Linked DNA regions of Arabidopsis thaliana. The protein of the gene in region 1 purifies or fractionates together with the protein of each later gene. This does not show direct contact. Each region holds a gene or a part of one and is shown in the gene's direction. Other genes may lie near its edges. The genes, in order: ARP7, emb1507 and AT5G57460.

Region 1 (3,755 bases):
GTAAATGTTTTGGTAATATTTTGAAGACTTGAACCAAATGCAAATGATATGAGCACAAAGGCAAGCTTTAGGTGGCGTGGTGACAAAAGAAGACACAAATAGGACAACTTACAGTGTAGATATCCCTCTCTGTGGCAGATGCGAAAACAGTTTTAACCAAGTCAACTGCTTCAGCTTCGGAAAGGGGCGTGTTTGAATCCTACATGGTGGCAGAAGACGAACAAATAAGCAACAGAACGATTCATTTTATCTTTACAATGCGAAACGCCAAAAGCACGAATGAAGAATATCAACAAACCTGTTTAGGTAGCAAAAGAGGACTTGGAGACTTGAGCTGATTGTCAAGGAAAGGCATGATGAGTGTGGAACCAGAACCTTGAGCACCGTATCCAACTCTCTCGTATGAGCCAACAGCGTCGTAAGTAAAGACACACCCTTTTCCTGGATATATTCAAGACTAAAGATCACACAAAGTACCCTCTTCTAAAGTCACATCATAACGGAGAAAAAAAGAGGAGCATTTTACCTTCCTCGTCAAGCCCTCCTAGAACATTAAAGGCATAGTAGGGGAAAAACCGCTTGAAATAAAGCGTGTTGGAGAGAAGCTGGGCCATTGCAGGACAGCTCATCTGCTTGTTATGCTGATGTTGATAGATCTGAAGGAAACCAAACACAGAGAAAACACTCTTACACAAGTCTTTCATCATTTTCTAATACTGCGAAGGATGAAAGATAATTGATCAAACGACCAAAGTTTAACTCACCAAGTGTCTGGATTTGAGAACCTTCTGCAAAGCTTTCACATCAGCCTGGAAGCCAGAGGAAGACAAAACAGCTCTGTCCGCTCTGGAAAAGTTAAAAGAAGACAACAGCTTAACAAGAGTCTTACAAGTTACATAAGATGAAAAACACGAGAATTCTATCTATTTCCATACGAATGAATACTTGTGGTATATAAGATCAACAACACAGTAACAAACACTCTTTACGTAAGGTTGAACAAACTCAAAGAACTACACACATTGTCAATAAACGTTATAAGAAAACGAATAAGCTAAGCAATAAACCGGATTATAGAATGATCAATGTAATCACAAAGTTTATATAGAGATAATTGTAACCACTATCAAAAGCCATGTCTAATAATAATTAAGAAACCTATTTTATCTCCACCCATATATAACTGGTTTCACCCAGATCTACGAATTACGATTGCAAAAAAACCCTAATAATCTACAGCAATAATAGTTCGATTGCCAGCATGGAATCACTCTCCCAAAGAATCAACAGTGAGAGAAGAAAGAGAATGGGTACTTACAGTTTATGGATTTTGGAGTAATCGCGACTAAGAATACTGTAACCAGTAGACATCCGAGTATCGGCGGCGATAACACAGTAATCCGATCCAGCGATGGCCACACATGTTCTGAAAAACACACAACGATTAAATTCACAGTAAGTGAATCGTAACACAATCGCCCAGATAGCAAATCAGAATAAAGAAGAAAGACACTAAGCGAAGAAACCCAGCAGGTTGATTAAAGGTCACACGATCCGTACCCTCCATTGTTATCGTAAGGAGACCAGTTCGCGTGCTGTTTAGTCATGGCGGATTTGAGAGAGAAAGCTTTGAGCTAGGGCTTAGAAGAATGAAAAATGGCAGACGAAGCTTTCCGGGTTTGTGTTTTGATGTCAAAGAAACTTCCGAATCGGATCTTATTAGCTCTGGCTTTGTTAACAAGAAAAAGACGGAGACTCAAAACAATACCGTTTTGGACGTGGAAATTACGGGCTGTAATAGGCTTTATAATGGGCCTTATTTGGGCTTTGAATTCCAAAGAAATAATCTTTCTTTTCTTTTCTTCTTCTTCTTCGTCTTCGATTTTCTCTCTCAACGCAAACTCGTAAGCTGCTTCCATTTTCCCTTCTAGACCATTGATTTGTTCTTCGAAAAAACCGTTCTTTCTTTTGCCTCTCACTCTAGTTCCTTCTCTCATTTCTACTTCTCTAGCTTCACTGACTTGCTGCTACCACTAAATCTTGGCATTTGTGGAAAGTTGGGAATTTAGGGTTTTTGGGTGTGTGTGTGAAAACAATGGAAGCACTAGTTGTTGATGCTGGCTCTAAGTTCCTGAAAGCAGGAGCAGCAATTCCTGACCAGTCTCCTGCAATGATAATTCCCTCTCAAATGAAACGAATGGTTGATGATGGGTCTTCTTCAGCTGATAACCCCACCACTGTCTTTGAGGATGTCACTCTTGATCCTATTGAAAGGGGTTTGATTAGAGATTGGGATGCTATGGAAGATCTGTTGCGTTATGTTGTCTACACTGGGCTTGGATGGGAAGAGGGAAACGAAGGCAATATACTTTTTACAGATCCACTTTGTACTCCTAAGGTTCTTATCTCCAAATTTCCTCCTTTGTTCTTAATTTAAAAGATTACAACTTTGAGTCTCTTTTCAATTCCCATAATCCTGTTCTGTTGGATTATGAAAAGGAACAATTTTGTTCTTTTAGTACCTCATTTTAGATAGTAAGACGTTGTTATTTTTAATGTTTCGACCTGATTTGGCTCTGCAAATGTTTGTTTGTGGACAGGCTATTAGGGAGCAATTGGTGCAGTTGATGTTTGAAACATTCAATGTCTCTGGATTTTATGCATCTGAGCAAGCAGTGTTGTCCCTTTATGCTGTTGGACGCATCTCCGGTTGCACTGTTGATATTGGTCATGGGAAGATAGGTATTATAACTTGCTTGGCCTTTGTTACTCTTTGTGTCTTTCACTTTGTCATAAACTCATAATTCCATGTTTTATGTGAGTTATGATGTTACATGAGATGCTGATTCCCTATACTAACCTTTTTCCATGATCTTAAACGTTTTGTTAAACCAATTTTTTTTGGATTCTTCTTGTGTTTATAGCTGGATATGATCAGGATGTTGTTATGTCTGATGTTTTAACTTTGTGGTTGATCCAACTCTTTTCAGATATTGCCCCAGTTCTTGAAGGTGCAGTACAACACATTGCCTCGAAACGGTTTGAGCTAGGTGGAACCGAGCTAACTAAATTATTTGCCCAAGAGCTTGGAAAAACCAACCCGTCGATGAATCTCAGCATGTCTGATGTTGAAAAACTCAAGGAGCAGTATGCAAACTGTGCCGAGGACGAAATTGCTTACAAAAAAACCCAAAACTGTGAAATCGAGCAGCATACTCTTCCTGATGGACAGGTTTGTGTGAAATCAAGATTCTACATTTTGTGTTGTTACCTTATACATATAGATAACAAAACCAATGGCCTTATAGGTGATAAGCATCGGGCGAGAGAGATACTCGGTTGGAGAAGCTCTGTTTCAGCCATCAATACTGGGACTGGAGGAGCATGGAATCGTTGAGCAGCTTGTCCGGATTATCTCCACAGTGTCATCTGAGAACCATAGGCAGCTCTTGGAGAACACTGTACTTTGTGGTGGTACAACCTCCATGACAGGTACTAACAACACTTGATATCATAGTGTGTTTGAATATCTTTTGGGTCGGAAAACTGAAGGGTTTGTTGGAATGGTCGATGGCAGGATTCGAAAGTAGATTCCAGAAAGAAGCAAACTTGTGCTCATCTGCCATTAGGCCAACACTGGTGAAACCGCCAGAATATATGCCGGAGAATTTGGGGATGTATTCGGCTTGGGTTGGAGGAGCCATACTAGCTAAAGTGGTGTTTCCGCAGAATCAGCACGTTACTAAAGCAGATTA
Region 2 (3,755 bases), on another chromosome or scaffold:
TGTATAGGTATAAGAACTCAATTTTATGATTATCGCCTCTACACGTTGTTTTTGTGCTTTTTTTTTTCTACTTTTGTATATATTTGGGTCATGCGTGAAGCGGTGAGAGTACTTTCGGTTGGTGGAATGTCACGATGAGCTTCATCTTTTGACCTTATCAATTCTAGTAGCGGTTCCTGACATGGAAATTCACGTATACATGATACGAAAACTGTTACATTTCGTCACTTTCGTCAATATTTCTACGCATATTATTCATATATGTTATCTATTTTCTTCGTATGTTTCACAAAAAACGTATTTTGGACTTTCTAGGGTTTGTTAAAATCTCTAATAGTTTATTCATAGTATATATGGAAGGAATATTGAGACAATATTACTCGAAATTTTAATTATGCATGGATATATTCAGACCAAAATGTCAATTAGCCTCCGAAATGTATAAAACAAGATAAAGGATTTATAGTGGTCAACCCATTATTGTTATAATAAAGGATTTTGTAGTTAACTATGATACATTGTAACACATTTGAATTTTGTGGCAGACTAGCGATGATTTTCTGAATGACCTTTTTCAAATCAATTGTTACTTGTAAAAATTTGTCATTAACAACCGTAAGTGATAATCGGTAGTTAAATATTCCTTCCATATATACTAATCAAATGCAGCGGTTAAATAATTGATAGGAAAAAAAACAGCATAGGCATTGTTACTTTGTGTTTACACTTTTGAATAAAAAGTATTATTAAGTAAAACAAATAAATAATAAAAAATATTATTAAATCTTGGAATAAAGTACACCAATTTTGTCATAAATAATTAACTCCGGCAAAACTTTAAAGATAATGGAGCCACACTATGTCACATGATCGATGCTCCCTCTAATCCGCAATAGGTGCTTACATGGATGTTTAAACCGAATTTAGGCGGACGAGAGTTCTTAGTTGTTTATATATACGTAATTTGTTTTGTTGTATATGTGCAGTAACAAAAATAACATCGCTTTAAAACAAAAAAAATTGAAGTGGTTTAGCATAATTTTAGATATTAATTAATCTTGGTAAACTCTTAAAAAAACAGTTTTGTTTTAGAATATTAAACAAAAATACATAATTGAATATGATGCTCTTGTTACGTGGATTTCCACACATGGCCTTTTTGGGACATTTTGATTTTCCACGTCTCAATATTTCACACGCCTACTTATGTGATGACTGATGCGTGATTAGTCAATTTTCTGTATTAAATTACTGTTTTGTTTGTTTGTCACCATTCTCTGTATTTCCTTAAAGAGTAAAAGAAAGTAAAAATTTAGTCACCGGTTGAGTTTTTTTCTTTCCAAACAAGAGTTTTAATGATGGAGTGAGTTTTTCTTGTACTTTGTCATGTTGTTATGGTAGTTGATTCTTGTTATATCGATATATAACATGAGAACTCTTTTTAATACAAAACTATAAATTATACGTGTTGCATGTTTGAAAACTATATTATCACTAAGATCAATAGATCTCTTTAGAGATTTGACAAAAATAAACAAAGACATATATATAAATTTTTTGGATATTTTTATGGACTGCCCAGTTTTCACATGATAACACATGAACCTTCGTCTCATATACATGTGCCATCTTTTACTAATCTAAGATTGCATTCAAAGTAATCAGCCTCCATGTCATTGTCACCATTTAAAGTTTTTCCCATTCCTTGTTCATTATTACACACACATTATATTTGTCAGCGATTATTAATGTTGAGGTATTAATATTTTGACAATTTTAATTCTTATAATAAACAAAAACACTTGCATTCATTCTCAAATTAACAAACGCAAAAGAAAGCATGAGACCATTGTCTTATTACGTTGGGCTTAGGAAGTATGTACAGGCCCAGCCCAATCCATGTACAGAGTCGGTTTCGTTATTGGATCCATAGTTTCAAAACGGCATCGTTAAAGTTTTCCACCTTAAGGCGGTATCGCTAGCTTATAGAAAGAATTCGCAGTCGAATAAACGAAGGAGTGTCTCCTTTAGTCATTTAGGTCGATTATTAGGAGATAGAGGACGTGAGAAGGGAGAGATCTGAGTCTCCTACTAGGGTTTCTTCTACTGGATTGATTCGTTGCAGAGAGTGAAGCTAAGAAGAGATTTTCGTAGCTGTTTCTGTAAGTTTTTTTTAATCTCCGTTTCCTCGATTTGGGTGTGGTTTTATTAGGGTTTATCATCTCTGGGAGCTTCTTCGTTTCACTTTTGGTTCGTTTCTTCGATTTGAGGTTAACATTGTGTATTTTTTTTTGTTCCTGTTTGATTTGGTTTCTAGGTTTTCGGATTGGTAGATGGCGAACTTGGGAGGCGGTGCGGAAGCACATGCCAGGTTCAAGCAGTATGAGTACAGAGCCAATTCTAGTCTGGTGTTAACTACTGATAATAGACCTCGGGATACTCATGAGCCTACAGGAGAACCGGAAACTCTGTGGGGGAAAATCGATCCGAGGTCTTTTGGTGACCGTGTTGCTAAGGGAAGGCCTCAGGAGTTGGAGGATAAGCTGAAAAAGTCTAAGAAGAAGGAACGTGATGTTGTAGATGATATGGTAAATATTAGGCAGAGTAAGAGGCGGCGTCTAAGGGAAGAGAGTGTGCTGACTGATACTGATGATGCGGTTTATCAGCCGAAGACTAAGGAGACGAGGGCTGCTTATGAAGCCATGCTTGGTCTTATCCAGAAGCAGTTGGGTGGGCAACCTCCGAGTATTGTTAGTGGTGCAGCGGATGAGATTTTGGCTGTTCTCAAGAATGACGCATTTAGAAACCCTGAGAAAAAGATGGAGATTGAGAAGTTGCTGAACAAGATTGAAAACCATGAGTTTGATCAGCTTGTTTCCATTGGAAAGTTAATCACGGACTTCCAAGAGGGTGGTGATTCTGGTGGTGGTAGAGCTAATGATGATGAAGGGCTTGATGATGATTTGGGCGTGGCTGTTGAATTTGAGGAGAATGAAGAAGATGATGAGGAAAGCGATCCTGATATGGTTGAAGAGGATGATGATGAGGAGGATGATGAGCCTACCAGAACTGGAGGCATGCAGGTTGATGCAGGGATAAATGATGAGGATGCAGGAGATGCCAATGAGGGCACAAATCTTAATGTTCAAGACATTGATGCATATTGGCTCCAGAGAAAGATCTCTCAAGCGTATGAACAGCAGATTGATCCACAACAATGCCAGGTACTCGCAGAAGAGCTACTAAAGATACTCGCTGAAGGGGATGATAGGGTTGTTGAGGACAAGCTGCTTATGCACCTTCAGTACGAAAAATTTAGCCTTGTCAAGTTTCTGCTGCGTAACCGTCTTAAAGTTGTGTGGTGCACTCGTTTGGCTAGGGCAGAAGACCAGGAAGAGAGGAATAGAATCGAGGAGGAGATGAGGGGGTTAGGCCCAGAGTTGACAGCAATTGTGGAGCAGTTGCATGCAACAAGAGCAACAGCGAAAGAGAGGGAGGAGAACCTGCAAAAAAGTATTAACGAGGAAGCCCGGCGTTTGAAGGACGAAACTGGTGGAGATGGAGGCAGAGGCAGGAGAGATGTTGCTGATAGAGATTCAGAGAGTGGGTGGGTGAAGGGTCAGCGTCAGATGCTGGACCTGGAGAGCTTGGCTTTTGACCAAGGTGGTCTTCTGATGGCGAATAAGAAGTGTGACCTCCCCCCTGGCTCTTACAGAAGTCATGGCAAGGGATATGATGAAGTTCATGTGCCTTGG
Region 3 (3,755 bases), on another chromosome or scaffold:
TCCGTCGTGTCCTTCAGATGATTCAATGGTTGTTTTTAGCAACAGCCTTAGGCGGAATCTCTCATTCTTGTATACATCAGAGGCTGAATTGATCCTCTCGAACTGCAGTTGATTCCTCTGCCACTGAATAACCACGGAAAAATAGAAAACAATCGAAGTGTTAAAGATCTTTTAGCTACAAGTAATCTGTTTTAACTCCATTTGCTTACCAATAGGACAATGAAGTATGTTAACTAGATTAATTACTTATGGCACTTATGAAGGCATGCATCATCATATTTTGTGGTTTCAGTCATTTTCTGGTTAGAATCGAGAAATTAGCTACAGAGTTCAAGTGAAAATAAATACAAAAACCATATCCACCAGGATGATCAACACTACCTATTCATAAAGATATTACGGCCAGATATAAAGATCACATCAGCAATTTACTCAACAAATGAAACGATTTGAAGATAGCAACCAAGTGGGAAATTTTCGACTTCGTGCAAATTCAATGATGCAAAGAAAAGAGAATCAGAGAACAAAGTGAGAAGCTTGCAGTAGACTTAGGAGCTAACAGGAATCTTTTAAAAAGCTTTATTATGAATAATTGAACATAGAATGCTTATAAACTAAAAACAAGCACATATCACATCTAACCAAGAGGAGGAATCCGAAAAAATAAACCTGGCTTTGCTGCAACCCATCTCCGGATCCTTCTGCAATGTACATAAATAATGGCTAATGAACAAATACTCCAAAAAATCCGGTGATGCTTCGAACAAAAACTATCCTACATAGCACCCGAGTTCACCTACGCTTGAACCGCACAAATCCCCTCTCGTGTGATCATGAACTCGCAAGAACTCCCAGGCAAATAAGGTGAAAACACTATGTCAAGCCGTCTCTTAGCACTTCTGGACACAGAACTTGAACAATTCTCGTCCTTTTCACTTCTATCTTTAACAATACTACCATCACTTCGTGAAATAAAAAATCTGGAATTCACACAATTAGCCCAAGCCAAGCCTAAAGAAGGAACAACTCGTCTTCCAGACGAATACAAATACCTCAAATTCCCAATCCTCAGCCCACTTAACCCATCAGAAGTTTCAACCAAATCCGTAACCTGATTCGTAATCACAATAGCCAAATCAAACTTGCTAGCCAACTGCTTCAATTTCCCAGATATCTTGAAAAACAAAGAAGATCTCTTCTTAAGATCAGACGGAGTATTATCAAACTCCGATCTAAACAATGCCGCTACAGAATCAAGCACAATCAACTTCAACGGAAACCTAGTTTTCGAATTCCCAACAAACCCATCTATCCTAGGCATTATGTCGAACAGGTGGTCTACAGAATGGACATTTTGTACAAACACATGATCACAAGGATTATCATTGTAATTCGCGTAAATACTAGGGTTTGATTGATGAAACGTGTGCGAGAGCTGATGGAGACGACGAAACGGAAATGGGAACTCTGAATGGAGATAAAGAGAAGAACCGTTGAGTCCGCCGTGTGAAATCGGAAGTTGGGTACAGAGCGAAAGCTGAAGGCAGAGCTGTGTCTTTCCGCAGCCACTCTCCGCAACGATTTCGGTTAAAGAATCGCAGGAAATTCCGCCGCGAAGACATCCGTCGAGGATTTCACAGCCTGTGGTTAGTTTACGATTCGTCGGCGATCGTCGGAGGAGATTCTCCGGCTTAATTTTCCCATTTTGCATTTCACCGCCAAAAGCTACCAATTAAAAAAAAATCGCAAAAGTTATAAGCGCTACAAAATTTAAAAAGACCTAATCGCGTTAAACGACATCGTTTTATCATATTATTGGGCTTCTTACCTTGACATTAGGCCCAATAAGTTAAGAATAAACGTCTACTATTGGGCTTATTTTCAAACCATCGCATTAGGTCCATGCAGGTAGGATACGAGTAATGAAACAAACGACGTCGTTTTCGAAAGAAACAACGAAGATCTCATTTCTCTTTCTCCTTTTCTTCTCCGACGATTCTTCTCAGTTCTCAGATCTGATCGATTTCTTCATCAGATGTTTCAATCTAACCATTGAGATTGAATAGTCACCATTAGTAGAAGCTTCGAGATCAATTTCGAATCGGGATCATGTCGTGTTTAGCCCTAGCTCTGCAACCAGCAAATGGATCCGACATTTTGCTCCAAACTAGAGAATGGTTTCCACCAGCAAGAGCCTTAATCGCTCTCTCGTATTTTCGTCAAATGCGTCAAGCATTAGCGTCCTCGAAGCAGCAGCATCAGCAACAATCGAATCAGAAACAGAATCAAGCTTCTTCTTCTTCTTCTTCTTCTTCCTCCGTTGCGGATCCTGACGATGCCACGGCGGCGGAGTTTGTAGGTGATGATCCACTCGCTGCTTCTAATGGACAGGTTATTGTTGGTGTTGAGAGCAAGTATCGTGTAGTTTATAGATTAGTGAACTCGATCTATATCCTTGGTGTTACTGTCGCGGATCATGATAATTCGATCAATGTATTTGAGTGTATTCATATTGTGAATCAAGCTGTTAGTGTTATTGTTACTGCTTGTCGTGGAGTTGAAGTTACTCCGGAGAAGCTTGGACGGAAGTATGCTGAGGTTTATATGGCGCTTGATATTGTTTTGCGTGGTGTTAGTAATATCCGTCTTGCGGCGATGCTTGGTGCTATGCACGGAGATGGGATTGCGAAGATGGTTCATTCGGCTCTTGATACTGAGAATAAGATCCGAGGAGCTGATAGTTGGATGGCTGTTGAATCGCATGCGGCAGAGCATCAAGCTTCTGTAAACGCATTTTCTAATGCAAGATTTGAATTGCCTCCGGAGACTGTTGCCGCTGGAGATGAGTTCGCGGCGAGCTTGGCTCCAGTGGTGCCTGAATCAGAGCAATTGAAGGAAGAACCAGAGCCGGAGAATAAGGATCCTTTTGCGGCTAGTGAAACGATTAACAAGGAGAAAGAACTTGTGGGTGGATTCAAGAAGACTAAGGATCCGTCCTCAACGGATTTGACTTTGGCATTGGCTGGACTTGAAGTGACGACATTACCTCCAGCCGAGGCAACACAGTCTACGCACATCAATGTGGAAGGATTCGAAGGGCAGTATGGTGGGATTGAGTTCAGCAATGAACAGGCTACGATTGGAGAAACTTTTGAATCGTTTAGTGATGCTTGGGGAGGTGGGTTGGATCCTTCAGAGTTTATGGGACCAAAGAAGATTCAGAAGAAGGAAGGACTCGGTGGGCTTGAGCTGTTGCACACCAGTGATCCGAAAGCAGTGGAAGGCAAAGATGGAGTTAATATCGATAACCTAGTTAAGAAGCCTGAGATGAAAGGTCCTGAAATGTATATCTCTGAGGAAATTAGAACCGAGTTTAGAGAATCCTTGCTTGCTAGAGTAGGAGTAATGGGTGTGATCTATCTGAAAACGATGCCACCCAAAGGCTCTGGTGAAGAGAAAGAAACTGAGTTCTCATTCCGTGTTGAGGGTACTACTGCAGTTAAGAGATTTGCTATGCAGAGTTCTCGGATCAGTAGCTTAGGGAACGGTTTGTTTCACGTGAGAACTGCTCCATCAGAAGAACCAATCCCTATCCTTAAATATAGCTTGCAACCTAAACTAACCCCGTTGCCTCTTAGAGTCCGAATGGTGAAACGAATCAGCGGGACTTTACTCTCACTTATGATACAATACGTCTCAAATCCGGATCTACCTCAGCCTCTGAAAAACGTCGACTTTATCCTAAAACTCCCGGT

The links.
Region 2: the proteins of ARP7 (region 1) and emb1507 fractionate together in Arabidopsis thaliana (co-fractionation; one large-scale study listed by BioGRID). This does not show direct contact.
Region 3: the proteins of ARP7 (region 1) and AT5G57460 fractionate together in Arabidopsis thaliana (co-fractionation; one large-scale study listed by BioGRID). This does not show direct contact.

Annotation. Positions count from the first base shown.
Region 1 is NC_003074.8:22,472,203-22,475,957, forward strand, and holds the start of ARP7 (actin-related protein 7), read left to right. Parts: upstream 1-1,780; 5' UTR 1,781-2,095; coding exon 2,096-2,398; intron 2,399-2,600; coding exon 2,601-2,742; intron 2,743-2,990; coding exon 2,991-3,232; intron 3,233-3,308; coding exon 3,309-3,492; intron 3,493-3,577; coding exon 3,578-3,755. Other genes in the region: PBF1 (N-terminal nucleophile aminohydrolases (Ntn hydrolases) superfamily protein), read right to left, coding at 109-199, 299-441, 527-656, 765-846, 1,319-1,426, 1,561-1,607. UniProt on the Arabidopsis thaliana protein: Essential protein required during embryogenesis and all plant development stages, probably through a chromatin-mediated regulation of gene expression.
Region 2 is NC_003070.9:7,308,493-7,312,247, reverse strand, and holds the start of emb1507 (U5 small nuclear ribonucleoprotein helicase), read left to right. Parts: upstream 1-1,976; 5' UTR 1,977-2,162; intron 2,163-2,317; 5' UTR 2,318-2,333; coding exon 2,334-3,755. UniProt on the Arabidopsis thaliana protein: RNA helicase that plays an essential role in pre-mRNA splicing as component of the U5 snRNP and U4/U6-U5 tri-snRNP complexes. Involved in spliceosome assembly, activation and disassembly.
Region 3 is NC_003076.8:23,273,212-23,276,966, forward strand, and holds the start of AT5G57460 (muniscin carboxy-terminal mu-like domain protein), read left to right. Parts: upstream 1-1,898; 5' UTR 1,899-2,109; coding exon 2,110-3,755. Other genes in the region: XRCC3 (homolog of X-ray repair cross complementing 3 (XRCC3)), read right to left, coding at 797-1,711.